Linked DNA regions of Styela clava. The protein of the gene in region 1 purifies or fractionates together with the protein of each later gene. This does not show direct contact. Links are inferred from orthologs where the notes say so. Each region holds a gene or a part of one and is shown in the gene's direction. Other genes may lie near its edges.

Region 1 (6,663 bases):
GATTTTCAGCTTACAAATTCAATATGTTCGATGTTATTATTTCAAATTCCTTCCAAATTTTTATTACATAAAAATGGAAGATTTCTTGTACTGTATATTCTTTGGAGGGGTGGTGGGTCTTTTTTTCATCTTGATTATTTATCTTTCGTTGTGTGATGTTTCTCCTTCTCCTCTTCCAAGAGTAAACTTCTTACAACCAGCAACATTTGACCTCATGGAAATAGTATCAACGTACATATATAATAACAATATTTCTTCTAACGATACTCCGTTGATTGATTAAGCAAGATGAGCTTTAGATTATAACTATGACACTCCATTAACGACCAAAAAAATACTAGTTTTTAAGGTGGATGAAACTCTCGAAATGTTAAATCTTTAATTCCGAAACTAATGAATGCTATACATTTGTGAAGTTTGAAAATTTGTGGCTTCATAACGGGAAATTGCTTGGGCAAATAACTCTTGAACGGGTAAAATGGCAATGGTGGTCTTCATTTTTCTTTTGCAGGCGCGTTCGGAAATTGGGGTTTTGGTCTAGCGATTTCTGGTCAAACAAAGACGTTGTCGGGGTGCTGTCATCAACCGCAATGCAGGATCTACCTTTTTTTATATTTCGCCTCTTTCTGTTGTCGGGTAAAATTTTGCTTACTTACGAACACTTAAATATTACTTTGCCTCGGTTTATTTTCCCGTGGTAGTAATTTATTGATTATATTCAATATACTATAGTTTACAATTGAAATAAAATATGATTACGTACGATGGTACGGACCGACCACTCACCTTAGCAGGGTGGTTACGTGGTGAAACTGAAACAATAAATTAGTAAAATGAGTATTCCCATATCCGACCAGCATTGGAACGTGGTTCATACTCTATCGAGAAATTAATACAAACGATCTTATTCTTTCTAATTGTAATATAATATTTTTCCAAATACTTCAACCTATTTATTTTTGCACAAAGTTAACGGAGTGAAATGATTATTTGATTGCATAATCATTAAATACCTTGCTATTATTACTATCAGACCTAATATTTGTAATCTGCATCACCAATATTCGTGTCTTAATTTACAGTTATGGGAATCTTGAGCCACACAATGGCATTCTTTACTTGCAAGAATGCCTTGGTTGTTGTTCTTCAAATCCACCGCCTTCGTATTATATATTCGGAGATTAAATACGATGGTATAGAAATAGCAAGAGCACACTTGGAAAGAGATGGAATCAGTGTTGTTGAATTAAATCGTGCTGATATTGTGGAACGGCTAAACAGTAGGAAACCAACCCATGAGATGGTGGCTACTTCAGATTCCCTTGAATTGCCAGGTTTACCTTCAAACGAGCATGAACTGCATTGTGATAATGATACATACTCCACTGACGGAAAACCATCGTGAAATATTTCCTGGCGCAGGCAGTGAACTATTATTTGTAGGCCTACAAACTTCTTATTGTGCATAAATCTAAGATTAGACGATATCAAACTGTGGACGTTTTCCGTACCATTGTTAGTCATTTTTAAACTCACGGTAACATAAAGTCGCATTTAATAATATCATCAGTGTTTCCTATAATATTTTACTTTATTTTCTAAGTGCATCCAAATTTATTGGATTTGTAATGTAACTTAACATTGAGATATAAATTTTATAGATCAGAATGAAATTTTATTTCATTATTTTTTGGTAGTTAAAAACCAACAAGAATATAGTTCGGTTCCCAATGCCCATTACGCTAATTAAAACTTTGTTTTGGTAAGGTGCATAATTATAACTTTTGTTGGAATATTGTATATATGACCAAAAAGGAATGAATGCTACCCTAGTGATACTCATATATATATATATATATATATATAAAGTAGGCTACCAGGCTACCCCATCTATGTAAATTTAAACTTTCCCACCGCTGTGTTGTTTTATTCTTGTCGTTAACATGTGCATTTTCTGTGGGACAAATCTATCGATTCATATATTTGCTTGCGATCGTGGGCAACCGTATAGCTGGCGTAATAATAATTGGGTCAAGGAATTCCCTGTCGGGGTGGTACTAATTAATCATTCCTAATACATTAAGCCTTATCGCGTGTTAGCAAGCAACGTGGAATCTCAGATAAAATATTATAATGTTTTCTGAAATTAACCTTGTGGATGTTTTTCCGACCCCCCCGGATGTTTTCTCACATAGTTTACCAGTGTGGTGAAAAAGTTCGATGCTTATTTTGAGATTGAATTAGCGAGTTAAAGCATGTAAACGGGTATACATATTCATAAGCACAATTTTGTTTCAAAATATTTAATTGGGCATTATTTTTTTTCAAAATATATTGTATTGATTAAAAAATGTTGAGTTTTGCAATGTTCAGCTCTAACAACTATAACTAATCGATGACCTTCTGTTACTAATATATTTTCGCTACATTCATTTACATTTTCTTGACCTCCTGAAGTAGGCTATGCGCACCAAGATGGCGCACATCCTGGACTTAGGTTGTGTACCAGGTTAGGGTTCAGGTTATGCGACATCTTGGTGCGCATACTTCCGGATTACCCATTTTCTGCTATATCTGCAATTATTGATATCCAACCTACCGGTATGTACACTCTTGACAAGTCAGTCATTTTCTTGATCAATGACTATTTATATGATGTGCGCCTGCTTAGGGGCCGATCAGTTTTATGTGAATTTATTTCCTTTTCATTCCGGTACCTGCTACACTACACTGCTTTTATGCATAAATATATTTTAAGATAATCTACATCTGTACAAGCTGATAGACTACCGCTACCGTAACGTTGTCATGTACCAGTAGCACAATGCACAGTGTCAGCTAAACTCTTGAATTGAAGTACTTGAACCTGGTTTTCTTCGTCACTGTGCATAGCTAGTCGCTACTACTTCACATTGTAACCATGTGGGCGGCTACCGTGTTTCCCCAAAAATAAGACAGGGTCTTATTTCAAATTTCTTTCGAAGGGCTTATTTTGGGGGGATGTCTTTTAATTTATCAAAAACAAAATTACAAAATACAGAATTGCGAGATTTTCAAATTTCAAATATACAAAATATGAAAATAGATATCCATTTACTTATAAATAAGACTTATATTAGGATAGGATTTACATATTTATCCCAGGGGAGAGGAAAGCCGGTAATTGTTACGTCGCCTCTATGTTGTTTCTGACTTGACTGCGACACATTCTGTGCCCTTGGCCACAAGTTTTGTGACTACCAATGATTTATCCATGGGTAACTTTTAGACTTTCTGAGAATTGTTTTTCTTAGTCCAGTATTGTTTAATATATTCGAGTGCCTCATAAATTTTTATAGTCTTTTTATGCGGGTTAGTAGATCAGCATTTCTTTATTTGACACTGGAAAAGTAAAAACTTGCTTATGCGTAAAGGGGTTTGCCCATCGCGGAGGGTTTGCCCATCTGCGTCGGTAAGCGAGTTATCCGTCTGCAACGCCAAACTAAAAGTCCTGGTTGAGAGCTTTAGTCATGTTTTCCTCAAGATTTTGTTTCTGGAGCTACAAAATGACCGAAAATGCGTTGCTAATGATGCAAATATGTGAATCATTACCGCACACCAAATGATGTTGGCAGGTTTGGAAATATACTGACGTGAAACCCATTCTAAATAATCTGTATCCTGCATACAACGTCATTAGTTCTCAAAGTCCAGCTCTCCCACGAACGTGCGGACATTTTGCTTGTTACTTATCGATTTTAATCGGTAAGTATGTTGATAGGTATTTGTCTGTTTGTCTGTCTGTCTGTCTGTCTGTTTGTCTGTCTGTTAGATGTAGGCTAGGCGATATCTCACGAAAACGAGATTGGATCTGCAGCAAATTTTGCATGTGCATTCATCATATCTCGTACCTGAGGCCTATTGATTTTGGGCGAATTGTGTCGTATAATTAGCGAGTTATCATTTAATTAGTAATGGGACACAAGGTGTCACTATGGAGTAAGAGCGCTGTTTTGAATCCCCTAACTTTCGATCGATAAGTCTTCGGTCTCTGACCAACATTCTCGTTTTCCTTGTTATTCTGTCTCTCCCGTTCGACAAGATGTTCCTTTTGCGTGTGCGTTATTGTACATTCGTATGAAGATAAATAAATCAAAATCTGCGGTAGTCATTTCATATCCATGCCAAGGTCAACGATGCGTTAGTATTTATGTACGTTTGCTCTGGTTATATAGCGCATACATCCAGACCGATCCAGACCAACGATTAACATATCAGATTAGACAAATGGACAAGCCCACCATCTGTTCCGCATGATTTCACATTTGATGAACATGCACTGAACTGGAAATATCTATATCTCTGTGTGAACATGTCAGAGCTCGTGATTTCCGTCGCCAGATTGTGGAATCAGCGTTTCGTTCTGTGGTGAAGTGTACGGTGGATTCTGTTTGTCATTATTTGATCGCTTCGCGTAGTATTTGTCGACCATGAGGCAGTTGAAGTATCACGAAAAGAAGTTGTTGAAAAAAGTAGATTTTTTCGCTTGGGAAGCGGATAACAATCTTCATGAAATAAAGATTTTAAGGAAATATAGGATACAAAAACGAGAAGATTACACGTCATATAACAAATTGAGTCGGCATGTGCGATCGATAGCGCGCAAACTAAGAGATCTCGAAACCGATGATCCTTTTAGAGAAAGATGTACTGCAAAATTATTAGATAAACTTTATAGAATGGGATTAATTCCTACGAAAGAGTCACTGGCATTGGTGGACAAAATAACGGCGTCTACATTTTGCAGGCGACGTTTACCTGTCATGCTCGTTAAGTTGCGCATGTCGCAGAATTTGAAAATGGCCACGGAATTGATTGAGCAAGGACATATCAGAATTGGAACAGATGTTGTAACAGATCCTGCATATTTCGTCACTAGAACTATGGAAGATTTTATAACATGGAAATCGACGTCTAAAATACGAAAGCACATTATGGAATTTAATGACGAAAGGGATGACTATGATTTTGCATAATATGACTGAAATGTGTTAGAACCTTCAATACTCTCTTGTGTTGGTGCATCAACTCTAACACAGAACGGGGGTGCAAGATTTTCTGTGATGATTTTTCATTTACAAAGCTTTTTTTGCAGCATTGGAAGCATTTATATTGATTATAACAATAATTTATTTATCAATGTAATGTTTCAATTATTTGCAAAATTTCTAGATATATTAATGCCATTGTCAAGCATTACTTTTTGGAGACTGAATATTGTTTGCCACAAACATATGTAAAAACATTGTACACAAAAACTCAACGATTAAATTATTGTAGAATGCGTTATCAAAATGTAGTTTTTTTGTTTTACACTAAAATAGTAGCTGAAAGTAATATTGCAAAATCATATTTTGAGTTTTTGTAATAATAGAATAAAATAGGTATTTTGGGATTTGAACGCCATTTTTAACTACAAATATGCTCGAAAGAAGTGCTCTACTCTGTTGTATTACAGATCCTTCAGCCGCTATTTTTATTGTGGGGTTCTTCAAATTCAAGTACTGACTCGTGTTAATAATGGTCTGAATCGATATGCGTTAATTGATTTAGAAAATTACTTTAAACTTTTGATCAATATTTGTTTAGTGTATTTATCACTATATTCTTCACATATGAAACATTACGAGATGGATGCTTTGTCAAACCTCAAATTGTTGAAGGTACTTTTTCTGCTTAGTTTTGGATATACTCTTATTGTTGCTGAATGCACGTTAAGTGCCCAAAAAGATTCAATATCCTCACGACACATCTCTAGTTTGGATCCACTCAAAGACAAAATGTAAGTTATGCCTAAAATAAAGATTTTGCTTTAAAGATTTCATGAAATAAAGACTTTCCAAATACCTCTTAGTCCAAGGTTGCGAGGTTGAAGGGCCGCAATCGGAGAAAACCCAAAAGTGATCAAAACATTGCGAGTTTACTCACTTTAAATATATGCATGAGAGTTTATTGTCCTAATCAGTTTTTCATGGAAACAATATGAAACCTTTAGTTATTTTAAAATTGCTTCAATCAATCAAATCGTTTTTATCCGCCTTTTCGGAAAAGCACAATAGAATGAAAGCAAGAAATATCACGGAATATTTGTATATATTCATGCCTTTGCACCGAATGGACAGGATAGGGCACCTTGAAATGGCTTAAAACTTATGGATGCGAAACATTTTTATGGAGAACAGCATCGCTCCAAGATTTTTCTGAGAAATATCAGGGTAGTTTTGGTATCTATCCCGTGTTTCGTTTTGTGAAGTCGCTTAAAATCATATTCTTTCGTGACAGATATTATTTGAAAACACACCAGACACTGTAGTTTAACATTGTTGTGGATACCAAATACGTTTCCTCCCAGTTTACCTCAGTCACCTTTTTTTCTACACTCATTGTATGATGAATTGTTATATTTGAAAAAATTTAATACTAGCAGGCCTAAGTTCGGACCTCGAACCCAGTGATAAAAAAAAGTGGATCGCTCTGTCAGCTCTGCGGTTTGTCACTGCTGTCAGATGGCCAACGCTTGAAAATAGTGGAGTGTTTTGACTAAAATAAAGGCACGAAATCATCGGCTTGGTCCTGTGTGCACAAGACAATTCATTCCCTATTCACAGATCACAGAATGTCATC
Region 2 (8,080 bases), on another chromosome or scaffold:
GACGTAATAGTGGGCCTTTTGGCATCCGCTCTCTACAGACCCCGATTTGGTTTCAGAGTTCTATTTTTCATCCTTTGTTAATTAATGATATTAGTTATTTAGATATTTGATTACAAACCCCCTTCTTGTACTTTGAAAGATCCCTTTCAGTAGTCATTGAAATTGACCTCCATATTCATATTGTGTTTCAATTGTTTTTCATAAACCAAAGTTAATCCTATCTTCGTAAATCCAATATTTTAATTTTTTATTTTTTTCACTTATATTCCTTTTCATTTACCATAATAATTATCCAAATACGCTCATTGGGTATAACTACCACAATTTGTTCACCATATTAGTAATTCTCCAGACCCCTAGTAATTAATATGCATGGATCAATGATCATATGAGCGTGATAACTAACTTAAATCAATAGCCCCTTGTAATTGTGCTTTTTACAATTATTTAAGTGTATATTACTCTATAATTAGCCGTTACACTCATAGTCATCCATTACCTGGGAATCTTATGCATAACAGTGAATTTGGGGGGAGCTGACTTGGATGACCGTATGGTCGTATCGCTCCCTCCAGTCTTTACCATAAACAGTGTTTATTTATTTGTATTTATGCTTTCATATTTATATTTGTTGTGGTTGACGAATCAATAAATCTCTCTCGCTCAGACACTTTCGTCACCCTGACAGATTTTCAGTCGTGGTTGTAAAAAATACTTCGTTTTTGCGATTCTGAATGCTATTCGTTAGTTTTTGGTTGTGTTTGGGAAATTTAAGTATCAATCAAATAAGTCAATCATCATTTGCCTCTTTAGGAGTTGTAGTTTTAATAGTAGTAATGAAAAATTAGTCTAAGAAATAGCTGTGACAAAATAGGCTAAAATTTTCTACCGGGAGGCAACGTTTTCTGCGAAAGATGCACTCGCCGAAACTGTTTACGTCTTCGTGCTAAAATGAACGTCGAATGTGCATTTTGCGCTAACAGTACTGTAATCCCTCGCGTATTGCTCCAATTTCACAAGGCACACTAATTTTTGTACTGCTTAAATGCGGATATTCATGTAGGTAAGTTACAAAAAAAAAATAAAGTTCATCCGATTTGAATGAAAACTGCGCCAGTGGATAGATCTGAGTGAAAATAAGAAAACAATATCCAGTTTATAAAAAGCTTTTTTAATAAGAACTGTAATAAATATGAAAAAAACACATATCAATCACTAACCTTTCAATCTGCGCCACATCTATGGAATATTGAGACTATTTCATGATTTTATTCTGGCAACGGTCTTGACACCGCCGAAAGTTCGTCGCAAATAAACGCTGGAGTTGTGCATGATGTTTGACGGTGGTTCATTATGGGTAAAATTTAACGATGTTCTGGTTGTACAAACTCCATAAAAATTGGTAAGTATCATGTATCAAGTCAGGAAAGAAATACACACGTCCACATAATTTTTATTGGTGTCCATAGACAATATCATTAATTTGCACCACGTATAACTTGAGCGTAATTTTAAAAGCTCCGAATGTTGGGAAATTTATGCTCTAATGAATAAAAATCAAATACCAGATAATAGTTGTTTATTTTATCTAAATTATGTCGAAATTTCATGGAATTCCATGCTACAGCAGGCAGTCCGTAGTCGTGCAACGTTTTGATAACAGCTAAACTCAGGGTTGTCGTCTATATATAGAAATCTTGTATATTTGTTTTCCTAGGATGTTCTCGATCTATATTCTGCGATATATATAGAATTTAATATTCAAGTCTTCAGAAATGTAGAATATATATTGTTGAATAGATTTCCCAATTTTTGTGAATTTATTGTATTGCATTGACAAAAATATTTGTCCGGCCCGTTTCAACACAGTTTGAGTCATACCCGACCCGCGGTCAAAAAAGTTTGGTGCCCCCTGATCTAGTACATAGGTTCTTAAAGTGCTCCGTACGAAGCCCCAGGGCTCCGCGAGAAAAACCCAAAGGCTCCGCGAGAAAAACCCAAAGGCTCCGCGAGCTATTCGATTACTCCTCAAAATACTGACTCAAAATTTTGTAACTGTTCAAAGAAGCAATAACAGCTTTGATAAAATCTGACAACGATATAGCTTCGAAATATGGTAAAGAGGCGGAATTAAAAAATGACATTATTTATAAGCAGGAGCGCAGCCAGGATTCTTAAGAGGGAGGTGGTTCAAAATTGGAATCGGAAATTTCCGCGCAACATTCTTCGCGATTAAAAAAACGGATAACAAGATTTCTGTTGCGTAAAATATTCAATTCATGACCGATTCGAGCATTTAACGTGTCTCGTCGTTATATAATGTAATTGTGCTCATCATTACTCACGTTTGATTCGAGATTACCATTAGGATTGCTAAAAGGAAAAAATACTATTCTAAAATAACATAAAATATGTGATAAACTGCCAACTATATATAAATTGGAGTCGTATTTTTGCGATCTTGGGATTTGTCAAACTTGATTTGTTCTTTTGCACTTGAGATTATTTTTAAGCAAGATATCGCCGTTTAAAAAATCACAATGTCTGGGCAAAATACGAACAATTGAAATTTATTTTATTGCATTCGGCTCCGTCGGTAGTTTCAGAATGGGAAAAAAGGTACATCGAGCGCACAATTGACTGTGTTTCGATTCCGCAGGTACTACGATGAAAACCTAACATAACACCAAATTTTGAGATTTACAATGTCTATAAAAGCGTTTTCAATCTGAGGTGAGTCTGCTGAAACCAAACGTGTGATCTTCCATTTAAAGTTTCAGTTTTATTATTTTAGAATGCCGTTTTTCTATCAAGAAATTTGAGTTGCGGATTTATCTCTTTATTATTTTTAGCATTCCGTCGCCGATGACTACAATATGGTAACATGTTTTCACATTGAACTCCCCACGAGAACAAAAAAGCAATTAACGTCGTCATTGTGTAACAATACATGTATATGCCGAGGAAAATTTTTGATTTAGGGAGAATAAACACCGGCGTAAAGACGTTTGAAACTGACGAAAAAATCGGCGATTGTAACAAAATGAAATTGCGCACATTATTAGCGGCCTTTTAAGTCTTCCAAAAATGTCAAAAGGGAAAAGATTCGACCCCTAATTTATTAATATGTTTGTCAAGTGTCAAATTTACAGCTTTAGTATAAAATTTAAATTTATTTATGACTAGTGAAGTAAAGTACTTTTACCTTGCTCAGGAATATTAATCTAAAAGTAACAATTTTAACATTTATTTTGGGGCTCCGCGAATAATATTCAACCTTTCAAGTGCTCCGCAACACCAAGAGTTTGAGAACTCCTGATCTAGTAAACTCCACTTTTTTCTATGTACCGTATGTGAAATTGTGAAGTTTGCCAGATGTCCACGCGCGCCTTCTGTGTTTGTTTTTCCAGCATGTGCAACGCAGTGATATAGCGCATAGCGTACCGTAGCAGATGCTGTAGATTCGTAGATTTGCTGGTTGTGTGAGTGGGCTGCATGCACCGGTATGGTTTGGTCATAAATGAACAAGTTCAAAGTTAGTGCCATAACACCGGTATTCTGATCAGTGCCCAAATACAGAAATACCGGTACTGCGACGATTCCCAAATGCAGAAATGCGTGAGTACAGGTACCCATAGTTTGAATGGAGCACGTTTAACAACAAACTACGGACTGAACTGCGAAAGCCATATGGTTATCTTTTGTCGAGACCCATTCATTTATTTTTATCTTTTGCTGCCATGCAGCCATGAGTGGTAACTGACTCAGATGACCGTAAATGGTCGTATCCGTATTTTGTTATTATTATGTGTTTTCTGGTTGATTCTTTCTCTCTATATCAGGGTCGTCCAACCCGTGGCCTGCGGGCCACATGTGGCCCGTCGAGGAGTTTTGAGTGGCCCGCGCTGTATTTTCGAAATAAAAAAAAATTGAGTAAAACTTCTATTTTTCGAGTGATGTAGTTAATATGAAGATTTGATACAAACAATTTGTTTATTTTCCTGAAATGCGCTCTGCTAGCCCATCCCCAACTGGAAGAAATCGATACATAAATAGTAGCTTACACACTTGGGCAGAATGGCAGTTTTAATGACCTCATATTTGGCAGCACGTACTCGTACAAGCAAGTTTTTTCACAGATAAACCATGTCAAATTCCCTCTGAGATCACTAATTTCTGACAGTCATATGGAAAATTGGCTTCGCATTGCTACATCGTCCTTTTCAGTGAAAAACAGTGCCAAACTTCACACTAAAATGTCTACGTGTAGAAAAAACTTTGTTGACTTTACTGTATCTTCGTTTTCTTCATTGTTCTTATTATTGAGAAAGTTTGGTGCGAGGGTTTTGTTTGTTTTTTTATAAATTTTTGGTCAGTGTAGCAAAACTAGAATATAATTACTATGTTAAGTGGCCCGCGCAATTATTAGTAAACTAAATATGGCCCGTGGGCCAAAAAGGTTGGCCGACTCTGCTCTATATATAGTCTATATACCCCTGTACCCTAACCTATGTAGTGTTACCTACGTAACATGTGGATTTTGTTGTTATATTAGTATGCTGAATCACGGACTGTTATTATGTAATCCTACCATTAACACCAAATTTAATGAGTGATTTTTCCATGGCATGTAGATATTAAATGTTTTAAGCCTAAAATGTCAGAATCTTCATCAGAGGATGAATCTTCACATCCATATGTGGATTTGATTTCTTTGGTTAAAACGAATAATCACCAAGAAGAAATAGAAACTGATTCTGAAGATGACAATGTTATCCCTAAAAGGCAGAAGTTAGAAGAAGGAATCCTTGAAAAGAAATCATCAAGCCAGCCACAGGATGACAGTTCTAATGAATCTGAGGACAACGAAGATGTAACTGATGTTCTTATGGAAAACAGTGATTCTGAAAATGAAGATGACAATAACGACTCTGCTGAAATATTGATATTTGGTGAGTCTGATGATGAAGACAATTTTGATAAATCTAAGAATCTCAGTTGTGATTATTACAAACAACATCTTGAGACAAATATTGATTATTTTGTACAACATATAGAAAAGAACAAACCTCAAAGGAGAGATACTTTGGAATGGCCCATGCTAGGGAAGATTCAGTTTATGAATCGATCTGAAGATCCAGCAACAAATGAATTTCTTCCCAAAGTTCCAATCAAGAAAAACACAAACATTGAAACTTATAGACAAACATATCATATCAGAAAAATTGTAATTGATAATTGGATGCAATTTGATAAAAGAAATAAAACAAAGTCGAAAAAAGATAAACACAATGATTTGTTTAACTTGCAGCAAAAAGAGCTATTCACGCTATTGAGTTCATATGTTGATGTGTCTTATACAGATACAAATCTTCTTAATACGTCATCATCTATTCAAGGTGTATATTGTTTTCATGCTGTAAATCATGTCATTAGATCTCGTGCCAAAGTATTACTCAACACATCCAGATTAAGGAAAATGACTCCGGAACAACGTGAACAATCTGAATATCGAGACCAAGGTATCACAAGACCAAAAGTTTTAATCTTAGTTCCTTTCAAGGAAACTGCATTGAGAGTGATTAATATCATGTTGGAATTATTCAAGCAAGGCGATAAATTTGAAGTCAGTTATAAGAAAAGATTTCGCGATGAATTTAGCCAGAGTGAAGATGATATCGATGGAGGTTTTTCAAAAAAGCCGGAAGATTATCAATGCTTATTTGCTGGAAATACAGATGAACATTTTCGAATTGGAATAGCACTGTTACGAAACTCAGTTCGCCTTTACTCACCATTCTATTCCTCTGATATTATTGTGGCATCACCACTTGGACTCAGAACAGTAATTGGTTCTGAAGGAGAAAAACACCATGAACATGATTTCTTGTCATCTATTGAACTTGTTATTATGGACCAAACTGATGTGTTCTTAATGCAGAATTGGGAACATGTTTTACATATATTTGAGCATTTGAATATTACACCAAAAGATTCACATGGTGTAGACTTTTCAAGAGTTAGAAATTTTTCGTTGGATGGTAGAAACAAATTTTACAGACAAACTGTAGTAATATCGAATGTACACTTGCCACAGATATCATCTATCTTTACTAAATGGTGTTGCAACTATAAGGGCTTTGTTAAAACAGAGAATATTCCAGAAAAGGGTAATATATGTGCTATTGCTAAGCAACTTCCACAAGTATTCCACAAGCTTTCCGCACCAAGTTTGGTCGAGTCTTCAGAAGCACGCTTTCGTTTCTTTGTTGATAAATTATATAAGCAGTACAAGGACCCAAGCATGTCACATACCCTGATTTATGTACCACAATATTTTGATTTTGTCCGTCTTCGTAATTTTATGAGAAAACAAAAAAAAGAGGGGTCTGGACCCATATTTGGTCATATAAATGACTACAGCACACCATCCGCTGCTAACAAGACCAAACGTCGGTTTTATACGGGAAAATGCCCATTAATGCTTTATACTGAAAGATTTCATTTTTATAACAGGGCAAGAATTCGGGGAATGCGGCATCTTATTTTTTATGAATTGCCAACTTATCCTTTGTTCTATGTAGAATTGTGTAACATGGTGAGAGATTCACACCAAGGAGATGGAGTTACTTCATCTAGTTCAGTAAATGTTATGTATACAAAATTCGATACCCAAAAACTTGCTTCCACAGTTGGAATGTCCCGTTGTCGTCAATTGCAAACTTCAACAAGAACTGTTCATATGTTTGTTGCTGGGACAAATGACGATTAATATATAATTAATTATGTTGGCAATTTGTTGATTTTCCAATAATGGGCTATATTCAATGTGTTTTTTGACTCTCTTTCTCCCAAAGTTATGAAATTTTGTGTTATTTGGTGCCTTCCACACCTTCAATGAAGCCTCTTACTCATGTCCCTAGTTGGAACACGGTTTCATCCAAGCTATCCAACATCACCCGCTACTTAATTCTCAAGTCACATTGAGCATATACATTTTATTCCTGTCTGGGGAGTATATCAATGTGTTGGCTGGTGTAATAATTAAATAAAACCTTATGACCGTTGATTTTTGTGAATAAAGGCTAAAGCCACTTGTCTTAAGCAAATATTCATCAACTTAATAGGCCATATCATCTATGAGAATATATGTCATAAAATGTGTATAGAAGTGTCAATACTTAAAGTTAAACTTGGATGGACCTAATTCATTCATGGGATTCAGTAATTTCATATTTTCTGTTTTATTTAGATTTCATATATTTAATGTAAATATAAAAATGTCATCTCACAAAAGGCCTGAACTTCAGGCTCCTCCCGAGATATTTTACAATGAAAATGAGGCACAAAAATATACTACAAACTCAAGAATGATGGAGATCCAGGCAAAGATGACAGAACGTGCTCTGGAGTTACTCAATTTGCCAGAGGATAGTTCATGTTTTATTTTAGATGTTGGATGTGGTTCTGGATTAAGTGGGGAAACTATAACAGAAATGGGACATTGTTGGATTGGTTTTGATATCAGTACAGCAATGCTCAATGTTGCTGTCGAACGTGAAGTGGAAGGTGATATAATAAATGCCGATGCTGGTGAAGGCTTGTTTTTTAAACCTGGAACATTTGATGGTGTAATCAGTATATCAGCGATTCAGTGGTTATGTTATTCAAATGTAAAATCCCATAATCCTCCCAAAAGGCTTTATAATTTTTTCTCCACTTTATATTCTGCTATGAGACAAGGTAGCAGAGCAGTGTTTCAATTATACCCAGAAAACCCCAGTCAACTGGAACTTATTACAACACAAGCAACGAGAGCTGGGTTTAGTGGTGGTGTTATCATTGACTATCCTAACAGCACAAAAGCGAAGAAAATATTTTTGTGCTTATTTTGTGGAGTTCCCACTCCTGAAATGCCATCAGCATTGGGTACTGGGGATGCTTCTAATACGCAAATACACTATAACCAACAAAGAATTTCGTACAAGCAAATGAAAGGTAAAAGCGTGAAAAAGTCCAAGGACTGGATAACTGCAAAGAAAGAAAGGTTAAAGAGGCAGGGAAAGCAAGTTAAACCGAA

The links.
Region 2: the proteins of U3 small nucleolar ribonucleoprotein IMP3-like (region 1) and U3 small nucleolar RNA-associated protein 25 homolog purify together in Homo sapiens (affinity purification with mass spectrometry; 3 studies listed by BioGRID and IntAct, with this or other methods). This does not show direct contact. The link is inferred for Styela clava from reciprocal best matches to the Homo sapiens genes IMP3 and UTP25.

Annotation. Positions count from the first base shown.
Region 1 is NC_135256.1:9,272,203-9,278,865, forward strand, and holds U3 small nucleolar ribonucleoprotein IMP3-like, read left to right. Parts: upstream 1-4,362; 5' UTR 4,363-4,469; coding exon 4,470-5,015; 3' UTR 5,016-5,628; downstream 5,629-6,663. Other genes in the region: transmembrane protein 26-like, read left to right, coding at 512-636, 1,083-1,405; cation-dependent mannose-6-phosphate receptor-like, read left to right, coding at 5,655-5,821. UniProt on the Homo sapiens protein: Component of the 60-80S U3 small nucleolar ribonucleoprotein (U3 snoRNP). Required for the early cleavages during pre-18S ribosomal RNA processing. Part of the small subunit (SSU) processome, first precursor of the small eukaryotic ribosomal subunit.
Region 2 is NC_135253.1:6,533,163-6,541,242, forward strand, and holds U3 small nucleolar RNA-associated protein 25 homolog, read left to right. Parts: upstream 1-4,586; 5' UTR 4,587-4,657; coding exon 4,658-6,772; 3' UTR 6,773-7,214; downstream 7,215-8,080. Other genes in the region: 18S rRNA (guanine-N(7))-methyltransferase-like, read left to right, coding at 7,215-8,080. UniProt on the Homo sapiens protein: Component of the ribosomal small subunit processome for the biogenesis of ribosomes, functions in pre-ribosomal RNA (pre-rRNA) processing. Essential for embryonic development in part through the regulation of p53 pathway.